Linked DNA regions of Macaca mulatta. The protein of the gene in region 5 interacts with the protein of the main gene of each other region in a pairwise test. Links are inferred from orthologs where the notes say so. Each region holds a gene or a part of one and is shown on either strand. Other genes may lie near its edges.

The links.
Region 1: the proteins of DDX17 (region 5) and SF1 interact in binary tests that used the Homo sapiens proteins (3 or more experiments, as listed by UniProt). The link is inferred for Macaca mulatta from reciprocal best matches to the Homo sapiens genes DDX17 and SF1.
Region 2: the proteins of DDX17 (region 5) and BYSL interact in binary tests that used the Homo sapiens proteins (3 or more experiments, as listed by UniProt). The two-hybrid records come from large-scale screens. The link is inferred for Macaca mulatta from reciprocal best matches to the Homo sapiens genes DDX17 and BYSL.
Region 3: the proteins of DDX17 (region 5) and WBP11 interact in a two-hybrid assay, tested with the Homo sapiens proteins (3 studies listed by BioGRID and IntAct). The link is inferred for Macaca mulatta from reciprocal best matches to the Homo sapiens genes DDX17 and WBP11.
Region 4: the proteins of DDX17 (region 5) and RBM15 interact in binary tests that used the Homo sapiens proteins (3 or more experiments, as listed by UniProt). The link is inferred for Macaca mulatta from reciprocal best matches to the Homo sapiens genes DDX17 and RBM15.

The regions. Positions count from the first base shown.
Region 1 is NC_133419.1:9,618,542-9,623,603, reverse strand, and holds the start of SF1 (splicing factor 1), read right to left. Parts: upstream 3,390-5,062; 5' UTR 3,016-3,389; coding exon 2,610-3,015; intron 2,389-2,609; exon of another isoform or gene 2,129-2,388; intron 1,282-2,128; coding exon 1,153-1,281; exon of another isoform or gene 661-1,152; intron 1-660. UniProt on the Homo sapiens protein: Necessary for the ATP-dependent first step of spliceosome assembly. Binds to the intron branch point sequence (BPS) 5'-UACUAAC-3' of the pre-mRNA. May act as transcription repressor.
Region 2 is NC_133409.1:140,238,556-140,241,799, reverse strand, and holds the end of BYSL (bystin), read left to right. Parts: intron 1-255; coding exon 256-604; 3' UTR 605-2,219; downstream 2,220-3,244. UniProt on the Homo sapiens protein: Required for processing of 20S pre-rRNA precursor and biogenesis of 40S ribosomal subunits. May be required for trophinin-dependent regulation of cell adhesion during implantation of human embryos.
Region 3 is NC_133416.1:17,238,832-17,243,820, forward strand, and holds the start of WBP11 (WW domain-binding protein 11), read right to left. Parts: upstream 3,499-4,989; 5' UTR 3,390-3,498; intron 1,496-3,389; 5' UTR 1,451-1,495; coding exon 1,387-1,450; intron 851-1,386; coding exon 819-850; intron 1-818. UniProt on the Homo sapiens protein: Activates pre-mRNA splicing. May inhibit PP1 phosphatase activity.
Region 4 is NC_133406.1:129,853,889-129,858,980, reverse strand, and holds the start of RBM15 (RNA-binding protein 15), read left to right. Parts: upstream 1-2,000; 5' UTR 2,001-2,871; coding exon 2,872-5,092. UniProt on the Homo sapiens protein: RNA-binding protein that acts as a key regulator of N6-methyladenosine (m6A) methylation of RNAs, thereby regulating different processes, such as hematopoietic cell homeostasis, alternative splicing of mRNAs and X chromosome inactivation mediated by Xist RNA.
Region 5 is NC_133415.1:13,048,833-13,053,087, reverse strand, and holds the end of DDX17 (probable ATP-dependent RNA helicase DDX17 precursor), read right to left. Parts: intron 4,087-4,255; coding exon 3,581-4,086; 3' UTR 1,068-3,580; downstream 1-1,067. UniProt on the Homo sapiens protein: As an RNA helicase, unwinds RNA and alters RNA structures through ATP binding and hydrolysis.

The DNA.
Region 1 (5,062 bases), on a different chromosome or scaffold from region 5:
TAAGTATGCTTGTGTTCTTGGGATATCACTCCACTAGGGGCATTTCACAAGGTTGTAAAGACCCAGAATGGTCTAATATGAGACACAAGGGAATGGGTGGGAGTAGACAGGAACAGTAGGGGAAAGAGTAAGTATTAGTAGTACTGTGAAAGGAGACAGACAATTCCAACGCCTCAAAATTCTCAGCAGTCTAAAAAACAGGAAATTAAGACCCTCAAGAGTAGTAACATGCTGGCCTTGAAGCGTTTTGGTTGTGAAGGCCACAGCCTCGTAGGCTTAGGAGGTCTTTGCCCGAATTTCCTCCAAAGGGGATGTTTGTTTAGTTAGTAGAAAATGTTTATCAAGTGAACTTTTTTGAGACAGCTTTAAAAGGTAAAACTTTCATTAAAAACTTTTTTTCAAAAAAGCAATTTTGAAGTTAATTTCAATTCCACTGTGGACAGTCATTCTTAATTCTCAAAACCTCCCAGCAGATAAAACCTTTTTATCCTAGCACTTCATTCCATATCCATGCAATATCCCTTTCCCAGCAGAGTTAAGAGTAAATACAAGAGCCTTCATTTTAAGACAGCTCTCCATAAACCAAACCAGAAAAGATGTTGAAGGGAAGGTTAAATTCTTAAATTCAAGAAAATAAAAAGGGATAAATTGTAAACACACTTTCAGAACCACTTTTTGTCAGTTTTTTTTTTCTTTCAGAAAGTACCTATAAAAAGTAAAAGACCACATTTTAGGGGGAGAAATATGAAATTATGGTGAAAGGCCATGCTGTGAAAAGTACTTGGTTTACAGTACCTGTGGTGTTCTCCACTGGGGCCTGTCCAGAGAGGCAGATGACACTCACCTCATCAACTGGCAATGAACAGCAGCAGCTGAAAAGGGTGGGCTGCTGGTCTGGGGACTGTTTTTACCCCTAAGTGAGACCCTACCTTCCTGACACTCATGGAGAACACTGCAGTTATGAACAGACCAAAACAAGGAGCTGCAAATGCAGAACTCACTGGGCAAAAACTGACAGATGATACCAAAGTCATGAAAATATCTCATCTCAAAAAAGATAACTACAATCTCAAACTTTCAAGAAATGCAGATCTTGCTCAGAATAAATCGTAACAATCTCAAAGTGCATTTGGATGCAGAACGTATATTTACCTATATAAGCTCTTTCTTGTTCTCGAGTAAGTCCAGGGGGAATAACTGTAGGCATTCCCGGAATCACTGTCTTCTGTTCCATTGTGTCTTGGTTCCAGCGGCTCCTCTTCCGCTTCTTACTTGGGAAGTCTAAAGGCAGAGACAAAGCCCATCAGATGTAAATATAAATAGTTACCAACAGACAGTCAAGGGTATTTAAGGTACTACACAGAAACTCAGCAGATTGCGAAACTGAGAGCTTAACCTAAAACTTAAACAGCAAAAAACCAGAAAACAAACCTCAGAGATCAGAGATTTAAAGCTTATGGACACTACAAGGGTATGTGGTCCTGGGTCAGGCAAGTTAACATTTCACCTTCTTTTGTCTAGAGAAACTGTCAAATATGTAAACATGGTAATCTTAATGTATACGACTGCAGAGAGTGTTAGATATATACTACATCAACCATGAGTGCTCTGAAATCCCCAGGGGAGACACAAATACATTGAAGAATCATAGGTTTGTAAAGCAGCCCTGATGGGACTGGGGGCTCCGCCCACCTCCACTCCCCTCACCAGTCACTTAAGAGGCAGGAGGAGAGCTAAACCTAGTTATACCCTACCGAGTGGGAAAAGCCCAATTCTTCAACAAGATCACTTTTGTCTTCGTAAGTTTGGCCAAGATCAGCATTCAATTTTCCTGGCCAGTTGGACACTCAGAGTCTGAACTTTTAAAAGGATCTATCAAAAATTCAACAAACAACAACCTATACAATAGCAGCCAAGTTGTCCTTCCCCCATACACAGGCAGAAACTCCCTACGTTTAGCACAAGAGTCCTTCTATTTCCCAGGCGATACACGATCAGAAGGAAAAACTTTTTAAAACAAAGTGACAGGAGAGCCGGTCAGACTGAGATCTAAGGATACTGAACGGAGATTAAAAAACTAGAGTTCTCTCCCCAAAAGAGACCAAAAACGATCAGACCCAACCATCACCTGAAGCATGCCAACCTCTCCCGGATGAAAACCCTGCCTTGCTATACAAGCAGAGCAGCTATCCTTGGTATGGTTCCCATTCTGGCTCAAGACCAGAAAGGAGCCGCCGCACATCATCAGGTGAGGCTTTCACGCCCTGCTGGCATTCACAACCAGCACCCCGTCCAGTGCTGAACATCAGCGGACTGAAGGGCAATAGGGGGCCCCGAGTCTATAGAACTGCGCCGCACAGCCCAACCACCTCACTGCGTCTGCGCACAGAGCGCCTCCCGCCCGCCCAACCCTCCCCAACAGCGCGCGTGCGCACTCGAGGCCCTAGAACCAGGCCGCGCGCGCCCCGGGGCGCCTCCGCCCGGGCCTCCCCGTGCGCGCGCGCGCGCGCGCCCCTGCCGCGTGCAGCCGCCGTCGCCGCCGCCGCGCGCCCCTCAGGCGGCCGGGCCCGTCCGCGCGACGCCTCTCGCGCTCTTTCGGCCCGACTCACCTCCTCCGCCGCCGGCCGGGCCCGGCTGCTGGTCCTTACGCGGCGGCTGGGGTGGCGGCGGCTGCGGCGGCGAGACGCGCTGGTAGAGCGGCGGCGGAGGGGGCGGCTGCGGCGGCGGGTACGAGGCGCCGGGGGACGGTGGAGGTGGAGGCGGCGGCGGCTGCTGGGGAGGCGGAGGGGGCGGCGGCGGAGGCGGCGGAGGCAACGCCGCGAAGGGGAAGGCCGCGGTCAGGGCCCCCATCGAGCTCACGGGCGGGGGCGGCGGCGGCCCGGGAGCCAGCAGCCCCGCCCCAGGCCCGGGTGCAGGCGGAGGGCCCGGCTCGAAGCCCCCTTTGGGTCCGGGAAGCGGGGGGAGCCCGGGGGGGCCCAGCTTACCCAACGGCGTGGCGTTCGCTCCGGTCGCCATGGCGCCCCCGGGGACAGGCACCGGCAGCTGCTTTTCGTCGGCGGCGGCTTCTTCGCAAGCCTCCCGGGGGGAGGGGACCCGACTGCGCTGCCGGAGCGCGCGGAGCCCGTCCTTTCACGCGGCGGGCGGCGGCGGCGCGAGACGCACAAAGAGGGAGGAGAAAGGCCGCCGCGGGGGCGGGCCGGGGGCGGCGGGACCGGGGACTGGATTGGGCCGGGCCGAAGCGAAGGGTCGAAATCGGGGGCCTCCGATTGGCGGAGCCTCAGTCCTTCTTGATGAGCGCTGGGATTGGCCGAACCGTTAGGCCAGGCGAGGAAATGGCGGCGGAGTCCGGTGGGCTGGGAGGTGTCGCAGCGCGCACTTCATTTGTTACTGCGTGAACTGAGCTCGGAGTCCAGAAAGGAGGGGATGGGGTGGGGCGAACTCTGTGACGGAGCGTCGACGAGCTCTCTCATTGGCTGCGGCGGTGGAGTCAATCAATTTCGCGTGCGTCGTAGTGTCACGGGATTGGCTGTCGCTGGTTCCAGCTTTTTTCTACTCTCCTCCCTCAGGGGGCAGTTTCTCCGGGATTAAGCGAGAAGTCGCGGCGGAAAAGGCCCAGCCGGAACGAGATTTATGGCGGGGGAATCCTGGAGCATGAAGTGCGCATGCGTATATAGAGCAACACCGCCCTCTCCGCTAGTCTCCCTTCACCATCGACCCTCGGGTCCAGCATGGAAGCCCTAAGTGACGTCAACCTTTGTTCCCATGGTAACGCGGAACCTTGGGGCGGGAGTACGGGAGGGGCTGATGGGCGCCGGAAAACCGGCTCCGTTACGCCGCAGGTAAAGAGACTTCCTGTTTTTTTTAAATCAAAGACCCAAAAAGCTATGAATAGAGAAGACTTACTGAAGGATTAAAAACAGTATTTGAAGTGATGCAACAACAAATTAAATGAAAGATAACAAGGTTGTCAATTCAAAAGTTACAAATACACACTTCTATCGGAATCTTAACGGAGTTCAGAGGATTTAATTAAATGATCTTAAAATCATATAAAACAATAACTACGGCCGGGCGGCGGTGGCTCACGCGTAATCCCAGCACTTTGACAGGCCGAGGCGGGCGGATCACAAGGTCAGGAGTTCGAGACCAGCCTGACGAATATGGTGAAACCCCTTCTCTACTAAAAAATACAAAAATTAGCTGGGCGTGGTGGTGCACGCCTGCAATCCCAGCTACTCGGGAGGCTGAGGCAAGAGAATCACTTGAAGCTGAGAGGCGGAGATTGCAGTGTTCCTAGATCCGGCCACTGTACTTCAGCCTGGGTGACAGAACAAGACTGTCTCAAAAAAAAAATACTACAGTAGTGGGAAAACTTTACAAGATTGAGCAGGAGCTTGCCTTTCCAGATGACAAACATAGTATATAAAACAAAACAGGCCAGTGCGGTGGCTGACACCTGTAATCCCAGCACTTTGGGAGGCCAAGGTGGGTGGATCACCTGAGGTCAGGAGTTCGAGACCAACCTGACCAACACAGTGACAACCCTGTCTCTACTAAAAGTACAAAAATTAGCCCAGCATGGTGGCAGGCGCCTGTAATCCCAGGTTCTCAGGAGGCTGAGGCAGGAGAATTGCTTGAACCCGGGAGGCGGAGGTGCAGTGAGCTGAGATCGCTCCACTGTTCTCCAGCCTGGGCAACAGAATGAGACTCCGTCTCAAAAACAAAAAAACCACAATAATAAAACAATATAATATTGTTGGTAGGAAAGACACATTAGTGCAACAGAATCCGGAAATACCACAAAGGTGGTATTTTATTTCAATCAGGAAAAGATGATTTAGTTGATAAATGGTGTAGAATCTTAAATTTAAACAACAAGACATTTAGAATATAATTTAGGAGACTATATAAGAGTAATCTAGGGTAATCTAGGGATTGAGGGACTGCAAAGACAGGAACCTCAAACTATGAAAAGATATACTTGATTACCCCAAAACTTAACACTGTGATAAAAGTCAACAGACAATGATAGATGAGGAAAAAATATTTGCCATACATGATA
Region 2 (3,244 bases), on a different chromosome or scaffold from region 5:
TTGGACCATACTCTAGTTGGGTACTGAAACAAGCAGTCTATGCTGGAGGTAGAGATTTGGGTGGATCCCTGTAGAGATGGTGACTCAAGTCAAGCAAGTATAATACGATTGGGTAGGTGAGAAGGTCCCTGGGGAATACCATAGTGTAAGGGCCAGCAGAGGGGAAGAAAAAAGGGGGAAAGCACAGAGGGAGAAGTAGGATCCTTCTTCCAATGTTTTCCCCGCTAACTCTACCCCACCTCCCTTTCCCACTAGCGCGGCCATGCTGAAAATTGCTGAGATGGAATACAGTGGTGCCAACAGCATCTTCCTGCGACTGCTGCTGGATAAGAAGTATGCACTGCCTTACCGGGTGCTGGATGCCCTAGTCTTCCACTTCCTGGGGTTCCGGACAGAGAAGCGTGAACTGCCTGTGCTCTGGCACCAGTGCCTCCTGACTTTGGTCCAGCGCTACAAGGCCGACTTGGCCACAGACCAGAAAGAGGCCCTCTTAGAACTGCTCCGGCTGCAGCCCCATCCACAGCTATCCCCCGAAATCAGGCGTGAGCTTCAGAGCGCAGTCCCCCGAGATGTGGAAGATGTTCCCATCACCATGGACAACTGAGAAAACAGTCAGTTGTCCTGGCCAAAGGGGTTTGGAAGGACACCAAGACCCCCGTTGGTGACTGAAGATGACACCAAACCTTAATGGCTAAAGACCCAGATCAGGGCAGTGACAGATCACAGGAACATCTGTGGCTTCCAGTCCAGGACAGGAAGGACTGAGGGTCTGGCTGGTTCCCTCTTCCATTCTAGGCCCTTACCCCTGTTCAGTTCTGAGAGCCGACTTAATACCATACACTGGCATTCCCAGTCCCCAGCTGGGGCTTGGTGTGAGTACTTTTTCTATGGCTATTGTGTCAGGTCACTGTGGATAAAGGCAAAGGCAGGTATTTATTGAACCTCTGTGTTTGGTGTAGTAAATGGAGGTGGGCATTACTCCTGTTAGTATCTGGAAGATGGAGGACATTCTTGTCCCGTTTATATAGGAGCCACCTCCCTTGATCTCCAAGCTTGTTTCTCCAGGCTACACTCACCTTGTTAGCCACCTGGGGACACATCCTCTGCCTTCTCCCATGACAGGCTGCAGCAGCCAGGAGCAGGTTGTCCAAAGATGGTCATGTGTCAGCTGTGGATGAAAGGACTACAAGAGAAAACTTGAGGAAAGCAGAGATACAGTCAAGAAAGGCCAGAGAATAAGGCTGGGCCCAAGAAGAGTTAGATCAGAGCTAGCATCAAACAGGCTCCCTTTCTGGCTTTTCAGCCAATGAAAGCTTTAGTGACTAGTAAACTACGGCCAAGTGCCCCTTTTTTTGTTGATTTATTTTTTGAGACAGAATCTCGCTCTGTTGCCCAGGCTGGAGTACAGTGGCATGATCTTGGCTCACTGCAGCCTCCGCCTCCTGGGTTCGATAGATTCTCTTGCCTCAGCCTCCTGAGTAGCTGAGACTACGGGTGCGTGCCACCACGCCTGGCTAATTTTTAAATTTTTAGTAGAGATGGGGTTTCACCAGGTTGGCCGGGCTGGTCTCGAACTCCTGACCTCAGGTGATCCACCCGCCTCAGCCTCCCAAAGTGCTGGGATGACAGGCGTGAGCCACCGCACCCAGCCCAAGTGCCTGTTTTTGTGTGGCCCATGAGCTAAGAATGATTTTTCCATTTTTAAATGGGGAAAAAAATTAACAGTATTTTGTGATAGGTAGGAATTACATGAAATTCCAGTTTCAGCATCCATAATTTTGTTGGAACAGCCATGCTCACCCATTTACATGTTTCATGTGGCTGCTTTTGTGCTACAACAGCAGAGTTAAGTATAATCCTGCTATAACCCTTATTTGCTTCCAAAATTGTGCATTTGTTCCAACCCATTTAATATATTTGGGAACAGTTTGATCATAACGCAGGCTTAATGTTTGCTTGTGTATGATTTCATCCTCGAGAAACATTAGGTGAATATGGGAAACTGTACCCAGCTGAACCAAGCCTAACTAGTACACAAAACTCACACTTGAACATGTACCAGCTACCTCACTTAGCTGCCCACCTGTGTTGAGCAACCCTTCCAACATCCACTTCCAAAAGCAAAGTGCATGTCTTCAAGATAAAAGGCCGTATTTATTGTAATATTTATGTATTTCTCAACCATTTGACATGTAAAAACCAAGCTATCCTTTTTTTAACATGTGTCACTCATTTGAGTGTTGTGCTTCAAGCCCCATTTTTCCCATGAGACCTGTGGTTTTTATTGTGCAAATTGCATGGCATAGTGATTTTCAGGAACACATAGGTCACATTATAAAGCAGAACTGATTATATTTGGGTCAGAGACCATATAGCCCGCAAAGCCTAACTATCCAGCCCTTTACAGAAAAGGCTCAATGATCCCTGCTTTAGACCACTGGCTTCCGCCTCCTTACCTCATACAGTCCAGAAATAGACTTAACCCACACACCAATCCAAGAAGCCAAAGCCAGTTTTATTTCACAATCTTTATTACAGTAGGATGATGGTCCTGGGCCACCAGCCTAAACCTTGTGGCCTTAGGAAAGACCTGTGTCAACAGGGCTTCCTCCCTCTCTAGACAGGGGCTCAGCCACCTCCAGGGCATCCCTGTTGCATTTTCTCTGCTGGAGGATGGGGCAGAGGGACAACAGGAGAGGAGGGCATGACCCCACCCCAGGCTGTAGCAGCTCCTTGGCCACAATGATCCTTTTGCCAGTAGCAGAAGGGAGGAAAACAGCAACCACCAGGGTTACCACCACTTGTGGGATGGCCAGGACCCCGTTATGTCCTCTTACAGTTGTGCTCAAAGCAATTAATAAATTAAAATGAGCCTTCAGCAGCAAAGCTGTCAATCACACAGAAGCTGAGCAGAAAACAAAGCAAAGAGGAATTTATAGCTTCTCTGGCTGAGGCCTAGGCCCCTCCCTCTAGGAGCAGCTGTCAGCACGGATTATATAGGGGCCTCCAAAGTACTGAGGAGTCATCTAGACTATTCCCCCTCATATGTGTCTATCATGCATGAAATTTCAGAGGGACCCCAATCCAAATGCAATAACCCTAGAAGGGGCAACACCTTTAGAAGGCACTAGAGCATTTTGGCAGTTGAAAACAGCCCCCAGGGGTGGGGGGCGCTCAAAAGGAATGCTGGCGTTATGTATCCAATTCTGTCCCATCAGCCTGCCCCACCCCCAGCTAGAGTTGG
Region 3 (4,989 bases), on a different chromosome or scaffold from region 5:
TTCTTTGAGCTCTGTGAGGTCTTTAGCAGTTACTTAAACACACACACTTAAAATTTCTTTTTTTAAACCCCTTATGTTCTTGAAGACCTTGGGTGATTGTTCCTGCCCCTTGTTCTAAAACCTCTGCTAGCTGAAGTCCAAAGTTTGTTGTTTTTTTTTTTTTTCCAAAAAAAAAAAAAAAGGAAAGGTTGAAGCTAAATTCTAAAATTAAAGAATATTTTAAAATTTTGCAGAAGTTAATGCTAAACATGAAAACACAACTGAACATTATTTAAAATCTGTGTTGCTTCAATGTATTAAAGCACAATACTATAAAGCAAATCCTTTCTTACTCTGTTGAAGTACTTTACCACAAATTCAACAGCTAAGAGGAAAATGCTAATCAGGAAAAGAAAGGTAATATATTTATAAATATTATAAGCCAATATATATATTTAAGCTAATGTAATATACATAATAGTTAATCAGGAAAATGGATAAAGTGATCTAGCATCATGTTTATTTCCATCCTCATTGGTAGATTTTAAAAGTTATGTTTTAATAAATAACAAAAAAGAATTATTTTCCAAAGTATTTTTTAACTCACTGGAAAAGTAATCAAAAATGGCATTATAACTTGTAGTGAGCTTCTCTGCAAAGTTACTTCAGTTCCTAAATATAGTAAAGTTTGGCTTAGTATATCTTACAGTTTTTATAAAAAGCATAAAGCACCTTTTCTAGAAAATATTAGAAATGTTATTCTGAAACCCACTAATCCCAAACCACAAGATGTGCCAAATAGTACTTAAAAGTTTTATAAGATGCCTCTGAAATCATACCTTCTTTAATTCTCTCTTCCGGGCTTCCTTTCCTTTAAAAGGAGAGAGGGAGATATAATAAAATTTTTGAATCTTGAACATTAGCATTTCCTTCAATTTCATACAGGTAATTCTTTATTGTGGGAAGTTACAGTATGCACTGTAAAACAGCAGCATCTTTGGCCTCTATCCACTACATGCCAAGAGCATCCCTCTAATTATGACAACCAAAAATGTCAAGACATTTTTGTTTAATGTTCCATAAAAAACAACTATGAATCTGAAAGAAAAAGATAACATAAAATGCGAAACAAGGGCTCGCAAAACTAATTTGCTCAAAATTTCAAATACAAAAAGAAAACTTTCAGCCAATTCTACTTTGCAAGTCAATCAAATCTGAAAACTAAAATATGGGTACTAATTTATTTGCATGTTTAACGTCTTAATGTTCCCATCCAAACACTGAATATACAATTTATTCCTCCTATCACTGCTGGTCTTGTAATTAAGCCACAGAGAAATAAATTCCCTAATATGTGCAATTTTTAACACTCTCCTACTTCATCATTCCACACTAATGGACACTTACGGGCTTGGTCTGTGGGGTTCATAAATTTTCCACTCTTGGTGGATGATGTAGATCTCCGTCCCATGTTGACAATTTGTATGGTTTACTTGTTCATTAAAAAAAGAAAAACCTGTGAAGGTGAAGACAAAGAAATAGCTTATATCTCCTAAATTTATTTCTTCCTTTTTCTAGTCCCTACCAATCTCTGAAAAAAAAATTCCTTTAATTAGAAATTCTGTGAGACTGTTCTTTCCTTAGTTTTGACTTTAATGTCCAAGAAAGATGGCATTAAGTTTCTTTACCATGAAAATTTAGATCTCCATCATTCTTTGGAAATGTGATGAGTGTGAAGACCACTTTGAATATCCTCAAGTCATTACTTTATCTTTTTTCTTATGGATCACAGCACTGACTTTGTCAACTGATAAAAAAACAACTAGAAAATGCTTTAACGATATGGCACAAACCATGAACATCAGAATTCATTAGTCCTTCTTCTATAACCTCCCTTTATTAACACGTAATTGTAAAAGAAGAATACGAACGGAATGGGGGTAATGGATCTAGGCTCAAAACAAACACCTCACCCTTGCCTCGCTCCATGGTTTTTCTTGGCATGTATGCTGTACATTCTCAACACTTCTAAGACACTAAAAACTCATTCATTTAAGCATATTTAATTCAGATATAATGCTTGACTCTCAAGAGTTCAAAACACAACTAAAAATGCAAGTATTTGAAATTAGTGCTACACTGAGAGCTCCCCAAAATTTAAATATTAAGACACATATTTTTCTAATACCTGACTCCCAATATATATTTCTTAAGGTAACTAAAGGGAATACTTATTCTTGTTTGAGGAAAAAATATTTTGTAAGCTAAAACTTTTATTAACACAATACCCTATTACATGACTTCTTCCTCTTATTCCAAAAGAATGGGGCTTAATTTTTTGAAGCATTCTTTCCAGTAACAAAGGTGGACAAATTTGTTTCCTTTTGCAAGTAGACACTTTTTAAAGGGAAGAAAGGGAAGATTTTCAGACCAGTTTGTTACAGTTAATGTGTCTTTCGCCAAGTGTCCAATTGCCCCGAAAGCCAGATGTTTCAGAAAGCTAGATGTTTCATAGCTGTTCTGGTGGCAATTACTTCAAGACGGTGGTGTCAAAGGCTCTGATTTTTAGCTTCCTCATCTAAAAAATGGGGACATCAATTACTTTATAACAAAGCTCTGATGATACAACGGGATTACAAATAAAATATCTTGTGATGTTTGACTCACTATTTAACTATAATCTTTATAATGGATCCATATTCCTGCCCTAGCTACCATACACCCTGTCAAGTGGTTTCCTTCTCAGAAAAACTGGGGGGTGGAGGTGTGGGTGGGAGAGCAGCAGGGAGTAGGAGGTAGGGAAGGAAGAAAACATGCAAAATTCGTACAAATACAAGCTCTCCCATCTTTGATTGCCTGCGTTTTTCGTGCTTTCCTTTCTCAAGCGGGCTCATGTTCTGAATCTCCTCCCCCACAAATGAAACACAACGGATACGAATTACAGAGAATTTTACGGAAGATACGGGAGCTTAAGTCTGCAAAGATTAGTTTTTTGTCTACAAGCGGGGGCGACTGGAAAAATCAAGCCAAATAACCGTTGGGGAACTGTAAATAGCCAAAAAACCTTCAATGGGATAGGGTCCAGGTCCACCAAAGGAGGCAACACCAGCAACTGCCGAAACCATAGTGACGGTTGACCGACCATGACTCGAGGTACAAGACGTCAAACCTAAGGCTACCAATCAACGTGCATAGGAAGCGGCCCCAACCGCCCCGGGCGATGCCAACCGCGTAACCACTGGTCGCCGCGCCACCCCAGGCCCTGGAATACCCCAGTCCGCAACCGGGAGACCCCAGCCGGGGAGAGGAGGAGCGGGGCAAAGGGACTGGGTGTCCCCCAAGCCACTGCGCGGGCCGTGGAAGGGACGAAAGAGATGAGGAAAAGAAGTAGAGCAACTCCATACACTCACACTTCTGCTGTGCTCCCAGGACTACGAGAAGCGGGCAGGGGGCGATTCCCGGCCTCTTTCACTTCGTAAGGGCCTTCAACTCGGCCTCTCGGTCTACCCCTCAGCTACCGCCATCTTGAAACCTCGCGCCCCTCCGCAATCCTTACGTCATTTCCCATTCCTCTGTCCCGCTGTCTCTTAGCGCAGCTCGGCCCTAGAACCATAGAGAATACTCAAGAATTCCAGGACCAGAGTCTCTTCCGGTCCCATACAATACTCCATTGGTTGGTTGTCGGCTAAGAGCCCGCCTCATTGCGCTCATCTAGTACAATAGGAATTGAAAGAAGATAGCTGCTATCTGATTGGCTGACGGTCCTGTCTCTCAAGTTGGAGGCGTTCTGACCTAGTTGCTGGGGGCGTAATGCGTTGACCTGTCCGAGAACGGTACTTTCTGCAGATGCAGAAGCGTTCCGCGTTTTGTGTCTCTTGGAATTACGTTAGTTTTTGGATTTTTATGTTTCTTATGACGCAAGCAGGTGCGATCCTTTAGGGGTGTCTCCGTTTGTAAACGAATACCCAGATAACATTTGCTACTGAGTTTAATCCGCTTTGTAAGCATCAGGTTATCCCATGTGGGCGTCTGGTACGTGTGGAAATTTAATAGACGCGCAGAACAGAACATTTGTAGACCACCTGAACAAATAAATCAGCACCCGTATTAGAGTCGCAAATTGCTTATACGGGCGGTGATTTATTATTTATTTATTAGTAGTGTTCTGAAGAAGAAATACGGGGATACATATGCAGTCGGTTTTAAGTTTATGAGTGGCAAGGTTGATATATATTGGCCGTATTCCCTACTGGTCTATTCACCAGCCAAAAGTCCTCTATGATGTCACTCTACGTACAGGATTATTCACTTAACTCTAGCCTTTGCCCTTTCCTTACCTACTATCCCCTCTTTCCCTGAGTCAGCCCCCACTTATTTCCCTTAAAGGTAAGTTTAAACATTTAAAAAACTATCTTAGAGGGTACGCTTGGTTATTTCTAATCTTAACCAGACTATCCCTTGTAGGAAGTCTATTCTTACCACCAGTTATAAATATTTCAAAATATTGTTGGAGATACATATTAATTTTTGGCAGAATCTTTAAACTGCCCTTGAAGGTAATATGATCGGTCCTATACCTAAACTTACCTTTGTGTTAGGAAATTCTTGATTTGATTTTAGATTGAATTTCAGTGTCGGAAAGCAATGACAAGATCTGGTAGGTTAAAGCTGATAAACCAGGTAAAACATAAAAAAGAAAATAATCTTGAATTTTGAAGATGAACTAAGTTGTAATATTTTGCAACTTGTTTTTTTTTCTTCTTAACACCATATTAGTGGTCATAGTTTTGCAACTCGTTTTGAAAAACAATGCGAGAAGAGAAAGAGAAAACAAACTGTTTGTTGGAAATATTAAAGTCTTTCATGTAGCTAAAATTTTTCCTGTAGCTAATATTATTAAGATAGGCTGAGCAGTTTTTATTTCAATACATTTCTTGTACTTGGATGGGAGAATCAGCTATAACAAACGCAGTCTGGCATCAACAGCATATTAATAATTTTGTCAGTATA
Region 4 (5,092 bases), on a different chromosome or scaffold from region 5:
TAAGCTTGGCATGCCTCTGGTGCATGTTCACACAGACTGGGTGTCTGCTTGTCTCCCTGAATTATTTCTCTCAAATCTTGTGCTCCCTCAACCCCTATCATGAGGTCTGGAAAACTACTGATTTGGTCATTATCTTTTTCTTTGATCAGTGAGTCACCTTAGCAGGTCAATTTAGGTTAAAAAGTCACTCTAGTGCCTGGTTTATTATCTCAATTGACTGTTATATTGAGTAATTAGATAATGGCTTAACTTCAATTTCCATTTGTGGTCTATTAATATAACCCTGAAACATTTAAACCCAGGTAAAACTTTTTCTTTTATTTCATGCTTTTACAAATAATATGTTCATGTATTTTTTATCCTCCAGCATCCAGATTTTTATCTTTAAATACCATTTCCCACTAAAAGGAACCAGAGCTCTCTGGAGAAATGGCTGACTCCACAACTGGGGCAGGAAATGTATATCAGGTAAGTCTGCAGAAAACAATGGAGAAAGGAAGAGTGGGAAGAGTGATGCAGATGAAACAAGATTGACATGATTTGATAATTGTTGAAGTAGGGTGTTGGGTACACGTGGGAGTTCTTTATTCTTTTATGTATTTTAAACTTTTTCCATAAAAATAGTTTAAGGAAAGTTAAAAATGTTATTTTCTAAACTGAAGGAGTAATAGCGCGCCCTTTGTAGAAACAAAAGATTTCTACAAAGAAAAGTGAAGTCTCCCTCCGACTCCAGATCCTTACACCCCTCCTCAGGGCAATCCTAGGAACAATTTCCCACGTAGTTGTCAAGAAAGTTTCCACGAAAATATTTTTAAATGTACATACTCATAAAATACAAATATTTTTAAAACCACAAATGGTAGCGTATTATACACGTTATTTTATGCCTTCTGAAGTTTTATTTCCTATTTTAATACAATGAATATGTCTACACATTACAATATTGTGGATTTTTATGCTTTACAATTGAGCTTCTTCCTTCAAGTTTCTTTGATTTATTCAAGAGATAAAAGGCCTACAGCTTCATATTCCTCAGGATTATTTACAAAAAGAAGGATGGCTCAGCCAAGGCTAAATTTAGGTTACAGTTCCTAATATTAACAGTTTTCAAGTTTAGGTTTCAGCTTTTGGGACATTATTGTTATCCTGAAAAATGTCATGTTTAAAAACACCTCACACCTCTACTATAGATTGGATCTTGGGAAATAGGGTTGAGGACGGGATCAATATAACCTCCGCCCCGGCGCATACCCGGGAGAGCTGCAGACGGTCTAAAGGATGTGGTGACCTCAGCGCTGCGTCCCTGCAGCAACCGGCGAGTGCTGGGGCACAGGCCATATCCCCCTAAGCTCGGCATCGCCTGCACCTCTCACAGGTGCTCTGTCCGCCACAGTAACGCTCTATGGAAATTAAAGTTGTAAGGCGAACGACAGAAGGAGCCAAACGAAGTGGATCCGGAGCGGCCACAAGGTGCCTGTGCTGCTGGCTTTTAACACACAAAAAGAGGAGTGCCAAGGAATACAAGAAGCCACAGGGGGAATAAAAAGCGACATATCTGCATGGAGCCTAAATTTCGCTCGATGATTTTCAGGGAAGAAGCATTACATATTAAAAACAAACATTGCTATTTTACGGGAATACCGGATTTAAAAATCCACACAGATTCGCAACATAAAACAGGCAGCCCAAAGACACGTCCGCGGTGTCCTGACAGTTCCGGCTCCGCCCGCGGGCCACGAGGCGGGGATCGACGGTCACTCCCCTCGGTTGCCCAGAGTACTTGGGCGGCAACGGGGAGCGCCGGGGGGAGACAAGCTCCTGGGCTAGGGCTGCGTCTCAGCCACCTTACTTAGCTCTCGAGGTCCCGCGTGTTACGTGTTAGCACCGCCCCGGGGCGTCAGCGTGACCCGGGGCTGCAGGAACCGTGAACTCCCTGCCCCGCGGGCCCAGGTGACCGCGGGCATCGCTATCCCGCGCGCGGGGGGCGGGGCTTCCCCCGGCTGTACACTCAGCTACCACAGCGACATAAGATGGTGTCCGCTAGGCGTCCCAGGACGGCTTCCTAAGGGACTGGAGGGCCCCGACAGCCGGAGAGTCTGCCCCGCCCCTTGGCCGGCACAGGTAGGACGGCGGGGAGCTCAGAAGTTTCGAACTCCAAGGGCCGAAGCACAGCCAAATACCCCACGGAACTTAACAAATGTTTGTGGGGAGAACGCCAAAAACGCGGGGAGGCGGGGCTGGCGCACAGTCACCCTCTCGCGACATCTAAGTGACGTCGCATAGCAAGCACGTGTTCTAGTCTTTCACCTTCAGTCAGCCTCCTCCGTTATATGGGCCTACCCCTTTAAGCGAGTGATGGACAGTTACTTCAGCCTATCAACTTCCTTGCAGACATCCAATCAGATTTAAACTTCTTTTAGCCGCCGGAGGAGTTGGAAAAAGGGGGTCGAAAGAGGGAGCTCACCGTCTCTCGCGATATCGCTGTGAGCCTGCCTCTCGAAAAAACGCCGAAACTTGGCCCCACCTCCCAAATAGTGGTTTAAAGGACGGGTTTATAAGCCAATGAAAGGGATGAGGAGGCGGGGTTGCTGCTTTCACTGAGCAAGAAGTACCGTTACAGGGCAGACTTTTTGTCCAATCAACACAGCTACACTTTGGGTCACGTGACCGCAGAGTGCGAGGGGCGGAGCTACAGCCTGGCGCGAGGAACCGTTAAGATAGACAACAAATGTAACCAATGAGGTACTCTGACTAGGGGGTTGGGAACCCAATAACAGTGGTTGGGCGGGCGCCTTCCTGGAGCGCGGGGAGATGTAAAGATAGACAAATAATTTTCCCAATGAGACTGTAGAAGAGAGAGCTAATTGGCCAATGAGGACTGCGGGGCGGGACCCTGTGCCGCGGCGGAGTCCAAGATGGCGGCGTGCGGTTCCGCTGTGTGAAACGAGCGCGGGGCGGCGGGTTGATCAGCTCCGCGGAGACGACCTCCGAGGACCCGCAACAATGAAGGGAAAAGAGCGCTCGCCAGTCAAGGCCAAACGCTCCCGTGGTGGTGAGGACTCGACTTCCCGCGGAGAGCGGAGCAAGAAGTTAGGGGGCTCTGGTGGCAGCAATGGGAGCAGCAGCGGAAAGACCGATAGCGGCGGCGGGTCGCGGCGGAGTCTCCACCTGGACAAGTCCAGCAGTCGAGGTGGCAGCCGCGAGTATGACACCGGTGGGGGCAGCTCCAGTAGCCGCTTGCATAGTTATAGCTCCCCGAGCACCAAAAATTCTTCGGGCGGGGGCGAGTCGCGCAGCAGCTCCCGGGGTGGAGGCGGGGAGTCACGTTCCTCTGGGGCCGCCTCCTCAGCTCCCGGCGGCGGGGACGGCGCGGAATACAAGACTCTGAAGATAAGCGAGTTGGGGTCCCAGCTTAGTGACGAAGCGGTGGAGGACGGCCTGTTTCATGAGTTCAAACGTTTCGGTGATGTAAGTGTCAAAATCAGTCATCTGTCGGGTTCTGGCAGCGGGGATGAGCGGGTAGCCTTTGTGAACTTCCGGCGGCCAGAGGACGCGCGGGCGGCCAAGCATGCCAGAGGCCGCCTGGTGCTCTATGACCGGCCTCTGAAGATAGAAGCTGTGTATGTGAGCCGGCGCCGCAGCCGCTCCCCTTTAGACAAAGATACTTATCCTCCTTCAGCCAGCGTGGTCGGGGCCTCTGTAGGTGGTCACCGGCACCCCCCTGGAGGTGGTGGAGGCCAGAGATCACTTTCCCCTGGTGGCGCTGCTTTAGGATACAGAGACTACCGGCTGCAGCAGTTGGCTCTTGGCCGCCTGCCCCCTCCACCTCCGCCACCATTGCCTCGAGAGCTGGAGAGAGAAAGAGACTACCCGTTCTATGAGAGAGTGCGCCCTGCATACAGTCTTGAGCCAAGGGTGGGAGCTGGAGCAGGTGCTGCTCCTTTCAGAGAAGTGGATGAGATTTCACCCGAGGATGATCAGCGAGCTAACCGGACGCTTTTCTTGGGCAACCTAGACATCACTGTAACGGAGAATGATCTAAGAAGGGCGTTTGATCGCTTTGGAGTCATCACAGAAGTAGATATCAAGAGGCCTTCTCGCGGCCAGACTAGTACTTACGGCTTTCTCAAATTTGAGAACTTAGATATGTCTCACCGGGCCAAATTAGCAATGTCCGGCAAAATTATAATTCGGAATCCTATCAAAATTGGTTATGGTAAAGCTACACCTACCACCCGCCTCTGGGTGGGAGGCCTGGGACCTTGGGTTCCTCTTGCTGCCCTGGCACGAGAATTTGATCGATTTGGCACCATACGCACCATAGACTACCGAAAAGGTGATAGTTGGGCATATATCCAGTATGAAAGCCTGGATGCAGCGCATGCTGCCTGGACCCATATGCGGGGCTTCCCACTTGGTGGCCCAGATCGACGCCTTAGAGTAGACTTTGCCGACACCGAACATCGTTACCAGCAGCAGTATCTGCAGCCTCTGCCCTTGACTCATTATGAGCTGGTGACAGATGCTTTTGGACATCGGGCACCTGACCCTTTGAGGGGTGCTCGGGATAGGACACCACCCTTACTATACAGAGATCGTGATAGGGACCTTTATCCTGACTCTGATTGGGTGCCACCCCCACCCCCAGTCCGAGAACGCAGCACTCGGACTGCAGCTACTTCTGTGCCTGCTTACGAGCCACTGGATAGCCTTGATCGCAGGCGGGATGGTTGGTCCTTGGACCGGGACAGAGGTGATCGAGATCTGCCCAGCAGCAGAGACCAGCCTAGGAAGCGAAGGCTGCCTGAGGAGAGTGGAGGACGTCATCTGGATAGGTCTCCTGAGAGTGACCGCCCACGAAAACGTCACTGCGCTCCTTCTCCTGACCGCAGTCCAGAATTGAGCAGTAGCCGGGATCGTTACAACAGCGACAATGATCGATCTTCCCGTCTTCTCTTGGAAAGGCCCTCTCCAATCAGAGACAGACGAGGTAGTTTGGAGAAGAGCCAGGGTGACAAGCGAGACCGTAAAAACTCTGCATCAGCTGAACGAGATAGGAAGCACCGGACAACTGCTCCCACTGAGGGAAAAA
Region 5 (4,255 bases):
GAACATATACAGTGAGCTGGCCATTAAGAGATGATAAGAAGATTATGCACCAAGTTATAAAGCAGTCCTTTCATCAGATGGTAAATTCTCATTTCATCTCCATTTTCTTCCAGTCCTTAAGGGAAAGAAGTTAAGTCTTCCAATGCCAATCTGAGGACGCTCTGAGATAGTCTACACCTTTAACAAGCACATGAAGGAAACTATTTTGAATGTTCTTTGGCAACTTATCCATAATCTGGGATCAAATGTTAAAACCAGAAAAAATGCTTAGTGTGGATTTCAGCAAAACTTCATCACCCCACCCAGAAGACCTTCTCATCAACAGACTGCCCTTAAAGACTCATTGTAAGGTCATAAAAACCTGGGCCAACTGCACAAATACGGTGCCTCAAAATGACTGCAACAAGAAACCTTAAGGTGCCTTACCGACGAAAAAGATCAAATAAATGATTGCTCTCCAAGGCCCGAGGGCAAGACTCATGATGAGGAAGTCAACTCCAATCTGGAACAATGTCCCTCCTCTTAAGAATGTCCCAACTAAAGACCAGTTAAAATATTAGAGTACGCTCTTGTGAATTTCCACTTTCCAGGTAGGTGACCAAATTTAGGTGGTCAAGATATAAAGGTGACAGTTTTAAGTGTGAAACGTATTTCACTTTCATACTGCCTTCAGGACAGAAGCAAACCAAATTTACCAGGTTTGGCTGGAAGAGTTTTGTGCCTCATCTTTTACTGGTTTGAATTTTTTCAAACCAGTGACTGATACCTGCCTTGCACTTAGTACCTTAATACCAATAACCTAATGGTACTTAGGTGAGTACCATTTGCGCAATCACTGTTTTACTTATAAGCAGATACAGATACATCCAAACCCTTACCTACTAGGTATCCTGCTAGGGTTTTCGATTCCAACTCTTGTATTAAGTTTAATCAATTCTACTTTCCTTTCAGTTTTAGGTGCTAATCAGTCAATCCAATATTCCCCACCTTTGTCTTGAAACAAAAACTGTTTTAAGATGTCTACATTGAACTATTCAAAGAATTTTTAAGCAATAAAACCTTACACCTTATTGTCAACAGTGTTTTTATTTATACCTACAAAAAGAAAACAAGATGGTATCAAAAGGACAATTTACAAACTAAGAATAGTAACATAGCTTTCAGCATCCTGTGCCTGAACATCACACATCTACAAATCTTTCAAGTCTTAATGCAACAGGAATGTTTGGAGACCAGCAAGAACATGAATAGAGAGCACTGATCCCAAGCAAAAGCCACTAACCTTTTAGATGAGAAGTCCACACAACGAATTGTTAGGGAGGATTGGGGGAGAAGCAGCCCATTGCTTAATACATTGAAACCCTTTCCCTAAGTTGAGTTTCAACCATGAATGCAATAACTAGCATAAAATGATTCTTCTGCTCATGTTCTGAAGCCAACAGCAGAACCTGAATTATGAGTGACAGACATGGAGGCAGAAGAGTTAAACTCTGCTAGATTTCAGCTGTGCTCAGGCCATAATAGCTTTTAAGGTTTTACTGTTATTTTGTGATTACAATGTCCCAGGTGGAAAAAGGGAAGCAAGCAATCCAAATAACCACTTGCTTGCAGAGACCTTTCCCTCAAACAGATGCTTTCAAGAGCTGCGAGAGAGTAGGGCATCCCTTGTGGTGGAACCTCTATGTTTAAAGAAAGAAGAAAAAAACCCAGAATTTGGTTGTAGAAAACAATGCCCACAACAGACTGGCCAGTGCTTAGACAAATTTGGGGTAGGGGGGAACACTTTGGTTTGAAAGCACAGAGCAGTTTGCCACGTTTCGTCTGTGCCTACCATCCTCCCTTGGCCTCAACTTCTATAAGATGGGGGGGACAAAAAGAGAAGTAAAGTTAAGAAAGAAGAAAGTGGAAAATTAAAAAAAAGATGTCAAAGTTTTTACATGCATACATTTCAGCTTATGCTGAAGACCTACCTGTATGTTGCACATTGACTCATACTTTCAGAACCCCTCAGAAACCATCCCTCTCTCCCTAAAGAATTTTAAAAGGAAAACAAAAACCTCGAACATAGATCTTACAAATCAGCAAGCATTCAAGCCTTAGCCAAAGAATGCAGTGGAGCCTTCCGCCTTAAACTGCATTGTGAATGAATACAAATTAACAGCATAAAAATTAATAGTCCCATATCAGATCTGAAAGGGGTTTCTGGGGCTGTCTGATGTCTCTACCCTGTTGTAGTGAACACAATAGCAGAAAATTCTTTCTGGGTTCATCTGCTATATAAAAAGTCTTGGTAAAACAGCATTACTATGAAGAGGATGAACTCACCTACCTTCAGATGGAGGAAAAGTGAAAAGGACTTAGGCTTTAGTCCTCCATGACTTTTCTTAAGCACTACCTACCTGTAATAAGCTGAGTGCAAAAGGATGCCGAAGAAAATCTGCACCCAGAAGCTGTTAGAAAGCACTGCAGAGAACAGGGTATGAAGAAAATAAGAGTTCTTAATAAACCCTGAAGATTCTTTGTTCAAGGTAACTTTGCCAAAAGGGCAGAGTAGCTGGCAAAGAGTTGTTTTTATTCTAGCTCTACACTGCATTTCAAAAGAAAATCTGCCCATTTTGAATATATTGTTTATAATTAAATGTGCTTTTTACACTGCAGGTCAATATAAAAACTGGTTAGTTTCCAGTGAGCATTTTTATGTTCATTTGCTCACAGCAGCTGTCTGGCTGGAAAATTAATTTCACAGATGGTCCCCAGTTTTACCGGGAAATATAGGCAGCTTCCACCCAGATGCTGAGATGCTACAGTTAAACCACTGCAATAAACACTTGTGGTTTTTAATTTAAAGGATACACAAGACTCCGCATTTCAATTTCTAACCTGACACTAAAATGGTTATTTTTCAGTAATGGGGGCGGGGGAAAGGCAGAGTGTAAAGGGAGATAAAACCAATTAGTGATTTTTAACTGTCAAATGCACTCAAGCAATCAGTCAAAACAGGCCTGAGGAAACCTGTTCCAACTTGAGAAACATTTAAAAGCACAAAAGAAAATGTGCAGGGAAATCCCTGTTTGTTTTCTAACCCAGTAATGAGAAATTTAAAGCACAGATGCCATCTTCCTCTGCAAAACGATTCAGCCCTCCCCCTCCCTCCCTCCCTCCCCACCAACTCAGAAAAAAACAAAAGATGGGCTCCCACAAAAGGGCCTAATACCTTACTCTTTAAGATGAAAAATAGCTCGAATATCTTCAACATGCAAGAAGTTGGGGGAAGAAATTAATCTCTTCCAGTCAGCTATATATATATATATATGTATTTTTTTTTTTTTTTTTTTTTACAAAATGTTATTACAGACTGGATCATTTTGGCGGGCAGAAGAAACCTGGCAGTGAATTCTAGCTAATCTGCATGAAAAGACAAATCACGATGGTTGGGGAGAAAAATTAATAAAAAAAAAAAAGAGAAAAGAAAAAGGGGAAAAAAAAAAGAAAAAAAGAAAAGGGGAAGAGGAAAAAAAAGGAAAGAGTGTTCCTTAAAATGTAATTTAAGTCTGCTGGAGTCACTACCACTTGAGTGGTTTCATTTACGTGAAGGAGGAGGAGGGGGAGGAGGAGGAGGGTATTGGTAGGCAGTCTGCCCCATGTAACCTATCATATTGGTAGCTCCCGGAGGCTGTGCAAACTGTTGTGACATCAGTGGCTGTGGCTGCTGCCCAGACCGGCCTATCCCACTAAACTGCTGGCTAGAGCTCTGCGAACTTCTCCCAGTTGAGGTGGTGCTACTAGCTCCGTAAGTGCCAGCACCATATTCTTGAGCCGTATAGCTACTGGTGCCATAAGCAGCTGCCCCATAGGTGCCTTGGCCATAGGTGTATTGGCCTGCTTGTGCTCCAAAGGCAGAATTTGGACTTCCATAGCCACTGCCATTAGCATAACCAGCTCTATCGGTTTCACTACGATCCCGATAGCTTGCAGAGTCTCTCCGGCCACCATCCTTGACTCCTCGAAGCCTTCGGTCACATTCATCCTGATACATCAGATTGGGATTGTTGGCTGAAGAAGTGGTCCGGTAACGAGAGCGACCACCTAATGGGAAGATACAAGGGAATTTTTAATGCCAGATGTATGACCTAAACATAACAATATAAAAATTCTATTGGGTACAAAAGTATTAAGCATGTTTCCTTGATACTTAGTTATGCTGGCCAGCCTCTAAGTTAGTACTGTAAAAATATACTCATAATTTGATTATTTA